2 linked regions of the Lepisosteus oculatus genome follow. The protein of the gene in region 1 purifies or fractionates together with the protein of each later gene. This does not show direct contact. Links are inferred from orthologs where the notes say so. Each region holds a gene or a part of one and is shown on either strand. Other genes may lie near its edges.

Evidence for each region.
Region 2: the proteins of lrrk2 (region 1) and rpl23 purify together in Homo sapiens (affinity purification with mass spectrometry; 3 studies listed by BioGRID and IntAct, with this or other methods). This does not show direct contact. The link is inferred for Lepisosteus oculatus from reciprocal best matches to the Homo sapiens genes LRRK2 and RPL23.

Annotation. Positions count from the first base shown.
Region 1 is NC_090702.1:37,348,557-37,355,949, forward strand, and holds the start of lrrk2 (leucine-rich repeat serine/threonine-protein kinase 2), read left to right. Parts: upstream 1-4,377; 5' UTR 4,378-4,923; coding exon 4,924-5,062; intron 5,063-5,322; coding exon 5,323-5,408; intron 5,409-6,338; coding exon 6,339-6,445; intron 6,446-7,014; coding exon 7,015-7,103; intron 7,104-7,392; coding exon 7,393-7,393. UniProt on the Homo sapiens protein: Serine/threonine-protein kinase which phosphorylates a broad range of proteins involved in multiple processes such as neuronal plasticity, innate immunity, autophagy, and vesicle trafficking.
Region 2 is NC_090723.1:10,331,286-10,339,304, reverse strand, and holds the start of rpl23 (large ribosomal subunit protein uL14), read left to right. Parts: upstream 1-5,000; 5' UTR 5,001-5,089; coding exon 5,090-5,102; intron 5,103-5,877; coding exon 5,878-5,961; intron 5,962-6,286; coding exon 6,287-6,415; intron 6,416-7,603; coding exon 7,604-7,717; intron 7,718-8,019.

The sequences.
Region 1 (7,393 bases):
GTTTTGAATATTAGCTGTCTTCTGAGTATACGAAAAATATGTAGCGGTATAAATGTAAATCTCAGTTCCAAGGGCGAAATGATGTTTCCATATTTCTCTTTTACGTTTTACTGTAATAGTAACTTAACCTCGTTTCTTTAAAGCTCGCATGCCGATGTAATACATATATATTATATCAGTATTGCCAGCAGCCATATCACCCTGCATCTAACAACTGGGAACCCACTGCAGTTAAGCAGGTATTAGCCTGGTCAGCACCTGGATAAAAGACCTCTGGGAAAACAAAGGATACTACTGGAAGAGGTGTTAGTGTGGGCAGAAGAGGGTGATTACTCACTGTGTGGGTTCTAATGCCCCTAATGATATCTGAAGAAAAAAGGTGAATGTAAATTGTGTTAGAGGGCTTATCACTTCTCATATGCCACATCTAATTTAATCTCAAAGTACTGTATGTGTCACTCACCTTATTTCAGTTTACTTACATGAATAAAGCATTTTTTCAGGTCTGTGTACACACTTGGGGTAAATGTTATGCTTTCACTCTGGATTTTTATTAAAATCCCCCTCACTCTCCCTTAAAGAAGGGAAAATCAATGTAAATCAATCAATCAAGGTTTATTTATCAATTACACAACAATACAGCATACAGCGGGGGTTGTCAGCAATGACATGCTTTTTCCACAAGCTTGCAAGGAGAGATAGGACAGAAGTTGATCGAATTAAGGTTACAAGTAGAATACAATAAATTATACAATTAACAAGATTTACACAATAGCATAAGGAGATATGGTAGGGATAGAAGATAGATACTTTATTGATCCCGTGAGGGAAATTGCAGCGCAACAGCAGCTTAACACAGACAACACAGCAACAGTGTAACGAATGATAAAATAATAATAATAATAATAATAATAATAATAATAATAATAATAATAATAATAATAATAATAATAATAATACAATACATACAATACAATCAGTACAGTGAGTGCACTAAGAAGAGTTCCTCAGTACAGAACACACAAAGAACAAACCAGAACAGAACAGTACACAAAAAAGTCGTATTGCACAATATAAATATAAATGTATTGCACAGGTCCCTGGCATATATTGCACAAAATGGTTGTAAACGGGAAAAAGAAAAAGAACAGATGTATCAGTTTACTGTTCAGTCCAGAAACAGGTCACTGTGTCAATGTTGCCACTGCCCAGATGCAAGGTGGATGCGTTGTACAGTCTTATGGCAGAAGGCAAGAATGACCTCCTGTAGCGCTCCCTGTCGCACTGTGGATGGATCAGTCTATTGCTGAAAGTGCTCTTCATTTCTACTAGCATGTCATAGAGGGGATGGGAGACGTTGTCCATGATGGCCTCTAGTTTGGACATCATTCTCCTCTCACCCACTACCTCCAGGGGGTTCAGGCCAGACCCAATGACAGAGCTTGCTCTCCTGATGAGCTTGTTCAGCCTGTTAGAATTCACTGCTCTTATTTCAGAGCCCCAGCATACCACCACGTAGAAAATGGCGCTCGCCACAACCAACTGATAGAACATATGTAGCATCTTACTACATACATTGAAGGACCTGAGACTCCTCAAGAAGTAAAGTCGGCTCTGACCCTTCTTGTAAATGGCCTCGATGTTCTTAGACCATTCTAGTCTATTGTCGATGTGCACTCCCAGGTACTTGTATGAGTCCACCATCTCCATGCCACTCCCATGGATGTGGGCAGGAGTAGGTTTGACCCTTTTCCTCCTGAAATCTACCACCAGCTCCTTCATCTTTGTTACATTCAATTGCTGGTGGTTCTTCCCACACCACTCCACAAAGCTGTTGACCAGTCCGCTGTACTCCTCCTCCTCCCCACCCTTGATACATTCCACAATTGCAGAGCCATCTGAGAACTTCTGCAGGTGGCACGACTTTGAGTTGTATTTAAAGTCTGAAGTATAGAGGGTGAAAAGGAATGGAGAAAGAACTGTCCCCTGGGGAGCCCCTGTGTTACTTACTACCTGTTCAGACACACAGTTCTGAAGTCTCACAGACTGTGGTCTGCCTGTCAATAGTCAGTGATCCATGAGATAATGGACACACCGACTTGCATCTCCTCCAGTTTCCTCCTTAGAAGTAAGGGCTGAATAGTATTGAAGGCACTGGAGAAGTTGAAAAACATGATCCTTACAGTATTGCCAGCCTTGTCCAGGTGTGAGTAGGCCCTTTGCAGCATGTAGATGATTGCATCCTCCACACCAACACTGGGCTGGTAGGTGAACTGTAGGGTGTCCAGTGAACTAACCAGGGGTCTCAGGTGGGATAAGACCAGCCTCTCCAGTGTCTTCATTACGTGAGAAGTCAGTGCAACTGGTCTGTAGTCATTGAGGACAGAGGGGCGCTCTTCCCTTGGTACCGGGACCAGGCATGATGTCTTCCAGAGCACAGGGACTCTCTCCAAGCGCAGGCTCAGGTTGAACAGTCGCTGGAGCAGTCCACTCAGCTGATCAGCACAAGCCCTCAGAACTCTGGGACAGACGTTATCTGGTCCTGTGGCTTTACCCTGGTGCAGCCTCTTCAGCTCCCTCTTCACCTGGTCAGCCGTGATGGTCAGCCTGGCCTGGGGGATGGTGCTCATAACGCTGTCAGTGCTGCTGGTGTTAATGGCGGGGTCAGAGATGTCAGGGAAAGAAAAAAAACGCAGGTACACCTTATCAGTTTCAAGTGGACTGACTATTTATCAGTGGTTGTTTGGGTAATTGCTGGCTGCCATGGTTGGCAGTTTAGCAGTTTTATTGCCTGAGGGAAAAAGCTGTTTTGAAATCTGTTGGTCTGTATGCTTCGGTATCGTTTTCCAGACAGTAGTAGAGAAAGGTGGGTAGCTGCGTCAGCATGCGTAGGCTGCAAAGGAACAAGTAATAGGTTTATTCCATTCCATGTGTGACACCTGAAGAAGGCTCCACGGCCGAAACGTTGTGTTCTCTTTCTTCTTTTTTTCAGTAGTAGAGAAAGCAGATTATGGTTGTGGTGACTGGGGTCCTTGAGAATAGACCTGGCCTTTATGAGGCATCTAACAGAGTAGATATGTTCTTTGTTCGGTAGCACGCAGGCGGTGATGTGCAACAAAACATGATGATGGACTACAAAACACTGGGATCAATTAGGGTACAGTGACACCGGAATAGGGTTATAATTGGGTACATGTATAAAAGGGTCCAAAACCAAGGAAACTATTTACATAAATCCGGGCGATCTCGCGACCGTATACACCGGTTCCGCCATTGGTCTGCCGCACTGGCCAGCGGCACTCCTAGTCCCTGCCCTGACCACCACTACTCCCGTCCTGCACCTGCAGGCGAGGGCGCTACAATAACATACTTCAATTCTACATTTTAACTATACTGTATATCCTAGTATTTTATTTGTCTTTTTAATTTCTTCTCTTTACTGCCTAGAAGATGCCTATGATGTGTAAACATAAACACCTAAGTCTTTTCCCTAAACCTCTTAGTTAGAATATTTGTATTTATAGTTTTATTTATTTATAGTTTGTAGTTATAGTATATATATATTTTTACCACCAGCATGCCATACGCTGCACTTGTGTACACTAAACACAACGTGCACGGTCGTGTTTTATTTTTACTAAATCGTTATGTACAGTATTTCATTTGCCGCTTCTGCAATCTTTGCCAATCCCCCTATTTTGGCATCATCTGCAAACTCCACTAAAGTTTACGAAGAACACTGGTCCTGCTACAGATGCCCGTGATACTCGACTAATTACTTCACCCCAGTCTGAGTATTCATGCCCTATTTGCTCCCTGTTTTCTAGTAACCACTTCTTAAACACTCGCGTTTCCCTGAATGTTATTGAGAACTAGCTTGACATTTGCAATTAGTTTGAATATAGAGAAAGTGGAAGTAGCAGAAATAGCTACACAGATTTGACAAAAATATAAGGGATACACTGCTTAAACTGTATTATTACAGAAATAATATGAAGAAGTTGAAGCTGTGTAGGTGGTGTGACCGCTAGTAAAGAGGGAAAGTTTCCATGGTGAGATGTCATCAAAATGTACTCGGTTGCAAATAAAAGTAGAAAATACAACAGGAAGAGTTATATAACTCTAAAATCATGGGTATACAGGCTGGATCAATGTACACTTGTGTAGTAAAACTTTCAGTCGCATTGACTAGATCATTAGAAAGTCTCGCAAACTCCTACGTGATATTTCGAGGCTACCTAATCTAATCTAAATTGTTTATAAGTAAAATATAACACAGGAAAGTACGACTGTCGTCTGCGGTCCTGTCAAAAATACTACTCAGACGTTCTACCGTAAAGCAATTCGTTTTTATTACGTCTTTATGTTTGGGGAAAGGTTTCAGATTTCACAATATTCTGATAAAGAAAAGTAGAGCAATTGAATGCGATTTAAGTTAAAAGCCATCATTTGCAAAGTTAATTTTTGAACAAGAAAGCCTGCAAAGTCGAACCACAGAACAGAGCTTCTGTATTGTTCAGTATTGTATATTTCAATGGAGGAAACAAAACAGATAGCCTTCATCTACGAAGAGTCATGTGATTGCAGTGCTATTAAAAACGAATGAAGCAGAAACGATGTTTAACTTCTATATTTAATTAAAAATAAAAAGATATACGTTGTGTTACTCATCTGCTTCAAAGCTTGAACTGTTTTGTTTATGAATGAGGAGGACTTCCTGCAATGTTTTTTCTTTCAACCTAGCTACATACGTCATGTAATACTGCGGTGTGAAAAAGTTTGTCACATACTGTATTGCATGTCACTTTACCAGTGTGTTGCACTTACTGTAGCACAGTGGAAAAACAACTTTACGGGCAACATGGCTCCATAAGTAATCATATTTGCCCTCTTTTTTATTCAACAGATTGTGACTTGTGAAACATGGCCAATAAGGAGGAACTAGAAGAAAAGCTTAAAAAATTAATTGTGAGGTTAAAAAATGTCCAAGAAGGAAAGCAACTGGATACACTTATTCAGATTCTTGAGGATTTACTCTTCCTTACTTTTGCTGGCGACTGTGGTGAGTAGATGGTAGATACAGTACTATATCGATGTTGTCCTTTAGAAAACATACTTTAGGCAGATCTACTTGAATTATAGAACAATAAACTAATTTTACTTTTAGAACTACGATTAACTCCTGCCTCTTCACACTCTGTGCTATAAAAATAAAGTCTTCTCGAGCTACAGTATAGTTGCAAATCACTGTAAATCAGTTATCGTTGAGCATCGTATCTACTTCAAAATGGAATTACTGATAATACTGTCTATTTTTTTCAGCAACAGAATTATTTGAAGATAAAGACGTTCACCTGCCTTTAATGGTGGTCTTAGATTCTTACATTGACAGTCATGCTGTACAAGAGGTCAGTGCGTATTATTTACTGATGCCATTTTAACGATGGTGGTGGTTTTAGAAAATATATTAAGACCAAGCACCAGATGATACGATTTTGGGAAAAATAAAAAATCTATTTTTCATTGCAAGAGTTTATTTAAAAAGTGCAATGTTCACTGGGGAAAAGGTGTTTAGTTAGCTTTTTCCATAAAATATACAGTAGTTATTTATGCATTATTGTTTTCTAATTAATGGTAATGTTTTAATGTCCCCTTTTTATTAATTCTTACCTTAATACTTCTGAATAGTGTTGTTGTTGAGTTTTATCCTGATTGCTGTACAGAGACATTAAAATTGAAATTCTCCATACTGTAACAACTCTAATAGTATCAAGTTTTAGTAATACTGTCTTAGAAATGTCTTATATATTTTTCTTATAAATGTATTTATAAGAAATGTGCCCATGGAAGTTAAAGTGCTTGGTTGATAAATGTTTTAAATTATGTATACAACAGTTTTTATTTTTGTGATTATGAACTAATTAAGGGTGATTGAACGTTATAGGGCCAACCTGGAAGACGCTGAGGTTATTGTACATAGGAAACTTGCCTTACAGGAATTCCAAGTGCTTTTGAAGCATGTCCATGAACAGCTTTAGGAATCTAAGTTTGAATGCCTGAGCATCTGGCTTCTTGTTCTTGGGAATGGAGGAAGAGAGCCTAAGTTAAATATTTAACCCAAAAGCAGTTTTCATTGCATTTTATGAGTGGTATCAGGGTGTGTTACTGCTCGATGTTATAATACATTCTTACTTTATTTAGTAAGGCAGAGAACACATCCCATACCAAATGGCCTGAAATGCCTTTTAAGAACTGATGAACGCTTTGGAGTCTTAGTAATTGTTTTCTGATGAAAAATCAACAGTACTGATCTAAAACTGAATGGGTTTGATCCTAAGGTGGGATGGTCATTGCTCTGCAGACTAATGGAAGTTTGCCCTTCTACTTTGGAAAAGTTATCAGCTCCACAAGTTGAAAAAGACTGGGAAGTACTGGGAATACACCAGTAAGTATGCATGTTTATCTCTTCTGCAAATTCATAAACTGATGTAAACTTTCATGTTTATGTTTTGTGTTTCTAGATGTGAAGAGGTTTGCGGGCTTGGGTGATAATAAGGAATTGAAATGACCGCAGTCCACGGCATTTATGTTCCTGCAGGGTTTTATTAAAAATAAATCAAGCTTGAATGTTTAGTTTACTTAAGTAGATGCTTAATGAAGGAAGGAGGTGACTGGGGTGTTTGGGGAAAATTTGTTTGGGATGACATGAACTTTAACTTTTTTTAATTTTCTTTCTTTAATGTACAGTACAAGGAAGGAGACACCTAGGTTGCAGGTCTGCAAGTTTTACAATAAGATGTTGAGTCACTTCCTCTGCAATTTTGAGAACCACAACTGCTAACAGGCCTTTGTTAACAAGAGGATGTGATTTTTTTCTTGTTTGTGCCATTAATTGGGTCTGCTTTTAGCACACTGTTTGAAGCAGCTGAAAAATACAAAAAGATAAGCCTTTCTGTTTTTATTTAGGTTGCATGTCAGTCTTTCTTATTTTTCTCACAATGTGTTTTTACAAAGGCAGATTCTGAAGATGCTGTCTTTGCACAATGGCCATTCAAAGCTGATGATGATTGGACTCAGAGCTTTATCGCATCTTTTACAGTCAGGTTGGGGCTGTTTAAGTTTTATCCCAATTTGATGTACTGTATACGCATATAACTCAGAAATGGTTATATGTGTTATTAGTCGACGTGTCACGTACTGTATCAGTTTTTAATTAAAATCATATAATTCTGTATGTTTTAGTACTTTGGAATACATTTTTTCTCTAGGCACCCTCTTTTTATCTGTTTTAGATAATGAACTCACTTTACATTACTTGTATTGTCTGTGTAATAATTTTAGATGAAGTAACATGCTTAGATTTTTAATTATGTGATTCTCTCATTGTTCCAGA
Region 2 (8,019 bases), on another chromosome or scaffold:
CTGTGTGTGTATGAGCCCAGTACTACACCTGTGACTGCCTGTTCAGCAGGGGTGTGTATTTGGTTGTCTAGTCTGAGTAATGAAGTGTTGAGGGATGCAAACTTGTTGTGAAATTCTGCCATTAAACACAGGGATTCTGCAGCCCAGGTGCAGAAAAACAGGCCCTGCTATCTTACTTTTTTGTGTTTACAGAGCCTGCTGTTCAACTGATCTAGGACTGTCCATGACTACTGGGGAATCTGTACATGCTTCTTAAACCAAAACTACACACATACCCTAATCCTAAACTATGTCATGCATGTAATATAAGAGGTTGGAAAGTATAGACAATACTCACTGCTGGGCAAATTGCAAAATGCAGTGCAGATTTACTACGGAGATATTGCTAAGGTTCAGGTCTCACCTTCACATCTGACTAGATGCTGTCGCCTGGATGGTGACCAAGCAGGATTGGGGCTCAACTCTAAACAGCCAACGCCTTAGACAATGACCTCAGAATGTCTGGGGGGGGGCTCATTTTAGAAACATACCTCATTGCACTATTCTGTTCTTCAACCAAAAATTGAAACAAAAAGGAAAAATGTCATTTCTTTTGACTTCTAAATAGATTTTATTTTACAGACCCTGGGAGGGGCATTAAAGTCACCCCTGACAAAAACCGGGACAAACCCAGACCAGCTGCTGTGTGGCTCCTGTGCGCTGTTGGCTCGGCCTGTGCTGTGAGGCTGTTTTTCAGAGGACAGACCCCTCATTAGACGAATCCTCCTCACCCACACCCTGTCCTTAGCAGCCGAGCTTCTTCCTTGAGCTCCAGTCAGGCATTTAATTTCCTCTTCCTGCCTGTTGTGTCATTAAGAGATTAGGGGAGAGGGCGCAGCCCTCTGGGGGCCTGGTCACAGCACACCTGACTCAGGTGCTCTTTTCTGTCCTGAGTGGAAAACCACAGAAACTCCATGCAGCATGAGAGGAACCACCCAAAGACTAAATATAAAACTGCGAATCTGAGAGTCTCAGGCAATTCGAATGTTCCCCTTTTCTTGCAGAGGGATTTGTTGTGCTGACCTGTGATAATTATCCAAGCAAACTGATTGGGTGTTTCTGCAGTTTTCCATTAGGTGTATCGGTTTCATACCAAAACGTTTACTTTGCTTTGCCATAGTTTCTCACATTATATACCCTGCTCCCTGTGTTTTTACCATGATTCCTCTGGGCTTTACTCTGTTTTTACTGTGTTGAGCAGAGACATTAACCTTTGAAGGGGATGTGTTTGTCACTAAGAGGATGAACAGTGCGGCGGAGTCGGCTGGTTGAATCAGGCCCCTGTGTGGCTGGGTCACGTGCAGCCGGAGCCGACGCCCCCAGCCCTAGCCTGCTGCCTGAAGACGTGTTTGAGGTGATTTTGTTCATGTGAGCAGCAGCCTGACATGTTTGTGCCGACAGGTTTTCATGGGAAAACGGGCTCTGCTCTCCGCGGACGTCACGCCTGCCTCCATTAAGACAAGAAACAGCCATGAATGAAGGAGCCGCCCCCCTCCCAGCGCAGGCAGAGACGAGCCCCTGCACTCAGGCTCCAGCAGGGAACTTACCTGAGCCTCACAGCCCCCCCCTTCCCCCGCCTGCAAGATAAGTGGGCTGATACTGTGTTTTTGGCACCAGGCAGCCATATGAAAGCATACCTTAAGAGCAGGTGAAGTACAGCAACTAATCTTTGAACTGAGACAGTGTTTTCCGAAGACAGAGGCTGCTGCTGAGGTGGGGAAGTCTCGGATAGACCAGCTCTGATCCCTTCATTCAGCACCTGTCTGCGTGAACCCAGGTTTATTCTGGCTTAGCAGCACAAGCCCATGTGCAGCCCAGTTTTACCTGCGGGACTTTTTAAAGAGCCAGGGACTCCAGGTGCCCAACCCCAGGCCCCTGCACAGCAGGCGTGCAGTTTCACGGCTCCTGTCTTTCAAGGTTCTGCTCCTCTTTGTACTCACTTCTGTCAGGCGTGCATCTCTGCTCCTGCCCTGCAGGGGTCACTCTTCTCTCTTCACGCCCAATTCACATTCAACGTAGCAGGGGCTTTTTAAAGGCTGGTCACAGTTCTATAACCACAGAGAAAACTATTAAACTTACCTAAAGAAAAAAAAATGTCTCCTTCCCCTAAGTCCTGCCTCTTTCTGAATGTGCACATTTAAACTCTTTACAGTCACATTCAGGAAACAGGATGGGAAACTTTGTACTGGAGCAAAACCATGTCGAAGCCCCTGCTGTGTATCTAACCGCCAGTGCCTGTTCTTCAGCAGCCCAGAAGACCGGAGAGACCTGCTGGTGATTGAGGAAAGGAATTAAAAGGACAGTTTGTTTTTTATCCTGTGAAAACAGACAGGTCGCTTCACATCACTGCACAGCCCAGGAAACAAGATCCAAGTAATCAACAAAAATGACAAAAACAGAGAGCTGGACCCACACTGATCAGAGAATTTCAGAATCAAAGTCTGACTTTAAATGTGAAAACTGGGAAAAAAAGCATGCTTTCAAAGCTGTCGACTTTATATTTAAACTGTTGATATTCCTGCAATTCTTTTTAATGATATAAATGAATTAGTTCTTAAAGGAGGTTTGGAGATTTCAGGTGACTGCAGGGACCGTAAACAAGGGGAGGGGAGCTCAGGGCCCTTCGCTGCCGAGCTCATTCCTCAATCACACTGACGCTGTCTTGCTGCAGGGCCACACACTGTCACTGTCTTGCTGCAGGGCCACACACTGATGCTGCTTCCTGCTGTTGTTTTCCTCCTGATGCCACTTCTGAGGGAAGGAGTGTGAGCAGGGTGCTTCTCTGCAGCATTTGCATGAGTGTTGATGCCGTTGCCTGAATTGGGGGGGTTGGGGAGCTGACAGGTTGCAGCCTGTCTGGAGGCAAACAGGATGTTTTGAGACCGTCAGGAGTTTCAGATGAAGATGAAAGAGCAGGGTGCGGGGTGGAGCGGGCAGTGAGGATGTCAGGGATTCCTCAGGGCAGACAGACAGTCTGGTCGCTGCCCTGGAGTACACGGAGCCCCATGGTGTCGGAGAGGAGAGGCTGGCCAGCCATAACCCTGACCATAACTGCGCCATTAATTCAGCTCAATCTATGAGTATGTTTTGATGGAAAAAAATGTGCAAAATAACCCCAGTCTATTAAGCAAAGAGAAAGTGCCTAAGATCTCAGTTGAAAGGGTTAAATACTCAAAATGACTGTTTTTTTTTTAGTACAGGAACAGTTCTTGTCCAGGAAATAGATGTGCAGAACCAGGTGAGGGAGGTCTGCAGAGGTCTTTATTTCCTAATTTAACTACTTGCTGGTTTAATTGAAACAGCTGAAGCCTTTCTGCTTCTCCAGCCGGGGGTGGCAGGTGAGGAGGGGACGTCTGCAGGGCTGTGGTTCTCAAGCACCAGAGCGCCAGGCTGGCGTTTCCCTGCTGCCAGGGGTGCCGCAGGGCCACAGCCCTCCGGAGAGCCGCAGCGGGGGGCACCTGGGGGTGTGCAAGAGGACGTCAGCAGAGAGATCTTCTCTCATATGGTACAGAGAGGTCTCTGAAGAAGACCGGACATTTGGCAGAAGTATCCCTTTTCTAACGCAAATTCAAGCAGTGGATATACTGTTCATGAGTTGGACTAAACGTTCAGGCGCTGCGATTGCTGTGCTGGCCACAGCACTGGCACTGCAGGACCCAGACTGCCAGCAGAGTCTGACCCCCCTCGCCAGCTTGGAGGGCTGCTGCCAGAGACAGGCTGGCACAGGGGCAACGTGCTGCTGGAGCACTGACAGGGCTGGCTTACCCTGCTTCTCATCCTGGCACCTTTGCCAATCGGCATCGAGCACCGTAATCAGCCTGCGGTAATGACAGGCCTCCTGCTGCTGTGTAGGCACTGTGGGCGGCTGCCAGTCAGCATTACTCATTAGAATATCAGACTGATGAGCCTAATATGGGCTGTGTCTCTTAATTGTGTTGTGACTGTGGCTATTCTGGTATCTGTGAAATGATACTGCTCCTCCTCTCCTCTCCATCTCCAGACTGGCTGTCCATGCAGGTCACAGCCAGTTGACAGCTACAAACCAAATCCCTTCCTCCAGCAACCTTCCCTCGGCGCAGCGCCCTCCTCCTGCCTTAGGTTTGACGGCAGCTTATCCAGACTTTCATTATTAAGCGCACTAGTGGCGCAACTCCCCCACCTGCTGGCCACTTGTCGCTACTGCAAGAATAAAGTTGGACGTAAAGTCGCGAAGCTGCTCGGTCTATTCCGTAATGTTTTCTTTAAATGTTTTATGTACCACTTCTCGTACTATATATATAATTTAATCTGCAATATTTCTTATATATTCCAGGTAATTTCCCAGTTGGCCGACAGACGTCAGTCTTTTTTAACTAAGGAAGCAACCGCGTCTGTCCTGCTAGGCGCTACCTGATGGTGAAAATTCAGTATTACATTTCTGACGTTTTCACATCATGAGGAGGTTATCAATAGAAAAATAATTAATCTCACAGAAAGGTTTGGGAGAACAGGGCTGCTTGAGCTACGCATTTGTAGAACAGGGCTATTTCTGTCTCTTAATGCACATCTTTACAGATAGCGAGTTAGGAATTTATTTGTTGATGCGTTGACAGATTTCTCATAGCGCTTTGTAAACTTAATTCTAATTTCCACGCCTGCATTTCGGGATCATAGGTTTTTATCGTTAAATCTTTTGAAAAGTTTAAAATGAAACGTAAATTATTATTCTTTCGAAAACAGAATTGGAAATTACCATAACACTGGTCATATAAAACTGCTTTATATGTTACAAATATTTAGTGGATGTGGAAGAAAGAAAATGGAATTAAGTAAAAATATAACTAAGCATTTAAAATCAATATTTTATTTAATAATGATACTATAACCTCATTTGAGTTAATAATACGTTATCCCTCTTCACGTGACTGTGGCGTGACGCAAATTGTTTGCTTCAACACGTGTGGGGGACAAACCGGAACTGTTCCCATGTCACATGACCGGGGTCTGAGGCCAAACCCTGGCGATATATCCCAGCAGGGTTGGAAGCTCCTCCCTCTTTCCCTGAACCAAAATGTCTAAGAGAGGTAAGAGATCGCTGAGACTGAGAATGAGAAATCCGAAGTCATCCTTAATTCCTGGGGTATTTGGTGTTTCACAGTCATTAGGTTTAATAAAGAGATTAATTAACTGTTCACAGCCGCTTGGTATTTTACGTGTATCTGTAATGAGACAAATAAAAAATTGATTGCCAGAGCCAGGCAGTCGTGACACTCGGGAGAAGCCATGTTGGGCCTCCGGCTGAAATGTTGTGGTTTTGTCCCGAGCTATCGCTCGGGTCCCAGCTGTGGGAGTAGCCGTGCGCTGGGACTGGGGTCCGAGTGTGACCGCATGCGGGTCCGGAGTGTCCGCAGACGGGCTGCGGTGCGAAGGACTGTCTCTGTCCGCGGGCCTGAGCCGCAGCCCCGGGAGCGCAGTAACACCGGAGCCGAGGAGGAGCTCGCTGGCGCTCCGTGCGGCTGATGGCCGAGCTCCGGGCCCAGAGCCGGCCTGGCGGAGAGCTCCTGCCCCGCTCCTCTTTTTACAGCCGGTTTTGTGGGTTAAAATGACGAAGGACGCGTCTTCGCCTTGCTGTGCTGTAGAGCAGTCGGGACTGTAGAGGCAGACGCGCTGAAGTCCAAACGTGTAGTGTCGTTCCTGATGTGCTGGCTGTACAGACAGGAGCTGAAGTGCTGCACTGCTCAGCGGCTGAGAACGGAAGGTGGAAAGCTCTTGCAGGATCGCGTGTAGAACCTGCGGGCCGGGCCGGTCCTGGTGCCTCAGGTTAACGAGTCTCTTTCTTCTGCTGCCTCTGTCCCGCAGGACGCGGTGGTTCATCCGGCGCGAAGTTCCGCATCTCGCTGGGCCTCCCGGTGGGCGCCGTCATCAACTGCGCCGACAACACAGGTGAGCCGTGCCGAACCGAGCCGTGTGGGTCCTGCTCGCTGGGGATTGACCGGGGACGAGCCCTCCCGAAAGCGCTCGCCTGGCCTGCGCGCAGTGGCGCGGCGAGCTGTCGAGGGAGGGGAGATGAAGAGCGCCGCTGATGGGTGAGGTGGCAGCAACGTGCTGTTCGTCCTCAATCCACGGCGCGACACTTGCCGGCTTGAAACTCAGCTTCTCTCCTGACACCCTTGTCCCCCTCCTCTCCGCGTAGCATGAGATGGACAATCCGGCTCAGATTTCCAGCGCGGAGCTGTCGGCTCACTGTCCGCCCCGCTGTCTGTTCCAGGTGCCAAGAACCTGTACATCATCTCTGTGAAGGGCATCAAGGGGCGCCTGAACCGGCTGCCCGCTGCCGGTGTGGGCGACATGGTCATGGCCACGGTGAAGAAGGGCAAGCCGGAGCTCAGGAAAAAGGGTGAGTGCGGCTGGGGCTCGGCACAGGCGAAGGCTGCCTCTCTCTCGGTCTGGGGGCAGCTTCCAGTTACAGCCAGGAGACGAGACTGGTTGCGTTTCTTGCTGGGTTTGTAATCTGTGCGTATTCTAGTAATTATTTCAGTTTCGATTTGGGTGGATTCTAAACATTATCAGTCCCTTTCTGGTTCCCATATTTAAACCCAAGAAGAACAGACCTACCGAGGTTAACCTCTGGTAATGGGCAAGTCTTCATGTAGAACTTTAGGCTGCTGAAATGTGTAAGCAAGAGCCGTGTGCAGCTCACAGATGCACATAAGGCTGGATAGTGTTTAGCTTCTTGGGAATACCGGGAGAGTTTCTCATTGTCTTGAGATGTGCACAGTGCTGCTAGTTTACAGGATGGGTTCCAGAGCTGTTGCTGCTCGGTGGAAGACTGCTGAAAGGTGATGGTTCTGTAGTGTGCCTGTTCATGCCAATGTGATCCATGGGCCTGTGGAGCCTCTGAATAGTGTGCGCCAGTCAGGAACAGTGTTTTCCTAGCTGTAGGGTGTTGGGTCTGACCACTTGAGTCCTCCTTATTTAAATATGTTGATGATCTTCTTGAGTTAGATTATTTGTAGAAATGTATTCATATTCTCTTCCCCCTGGAGAGCTGCTATCAGGTAGCTGATGCTGCACACATGCCTACTGTATCAGCTACGTGATCATAGAGATTCCAGTGGTGGCAGTTCTACTATGTTATTACATATTTGGGGCTGCAGTTTTTAGGCTGACTAAAAGCAATTAACACAACTGTGTACATGTGGTCACAGGGGGGTTATGTGTACAAAGGGATCAGACACCAGACTGCAGGGATGTTTGCGGACAGTGGATGTCCAGCTGTCCCAGCTTGTTCCTGGAAGTGGCCCTAGTCTGCCGCCTCCCTTCTGTACACGCATACTGTCGCACTAATTTCGCTGGATAGCAGAGCGTCCAGTTTGTGGTACCTGTGGTGTTAGTGTGTTGATCTGACACCTCCCCCTTCAGAGGGATCCTGCTAGGCTCCCAGCTGCTTCAGCCAGTGGAGGCTGAGTCCGGTGCCCCAGGCGCCACTGCTGCTGCGCGCCTGGGCTCCGCCACCGGATGGCGATCGCGCGCTGACGTGTTGACTTTGCGGTGTGCGCTGACCTCCCTCTGCGGCTCGTTGCAGTGCATCCTGCAGTGGTGATACGGCAGCGGAAGTCCTACCGGAGGAAAGATGGGGTGTTCCTGTACTTCGAGGACAACGCGGGGGTCATCGTCAACAACAAAGGAGAGATGAAAGGTGAGTCGCCGGTCCTGCGCGCGCCACCCCCCCCCCCCGCCTGCCCTTCTTAAAGCACTTGCCCCGCCTGGTGTGCAGTGGCGGGGTGAGCTGTCGTGGAAGGGCACAGGAAGTGCGTCGCTGTTGGGTGAGAGGGCAGCTGCGTGTGCTGCAGATTCTCAATCCGCGACGGGACACTCGCCAGCCGCTGGGACAGCCCCTCGCAGGGTGATTGACACGAGCTGTCAAACCTCCTTTGGTCTTTCCAGCATCCTTTGCTTGATTGGATATTGTCCACCGGACAGCCTCTCGTTTGCGCCGTT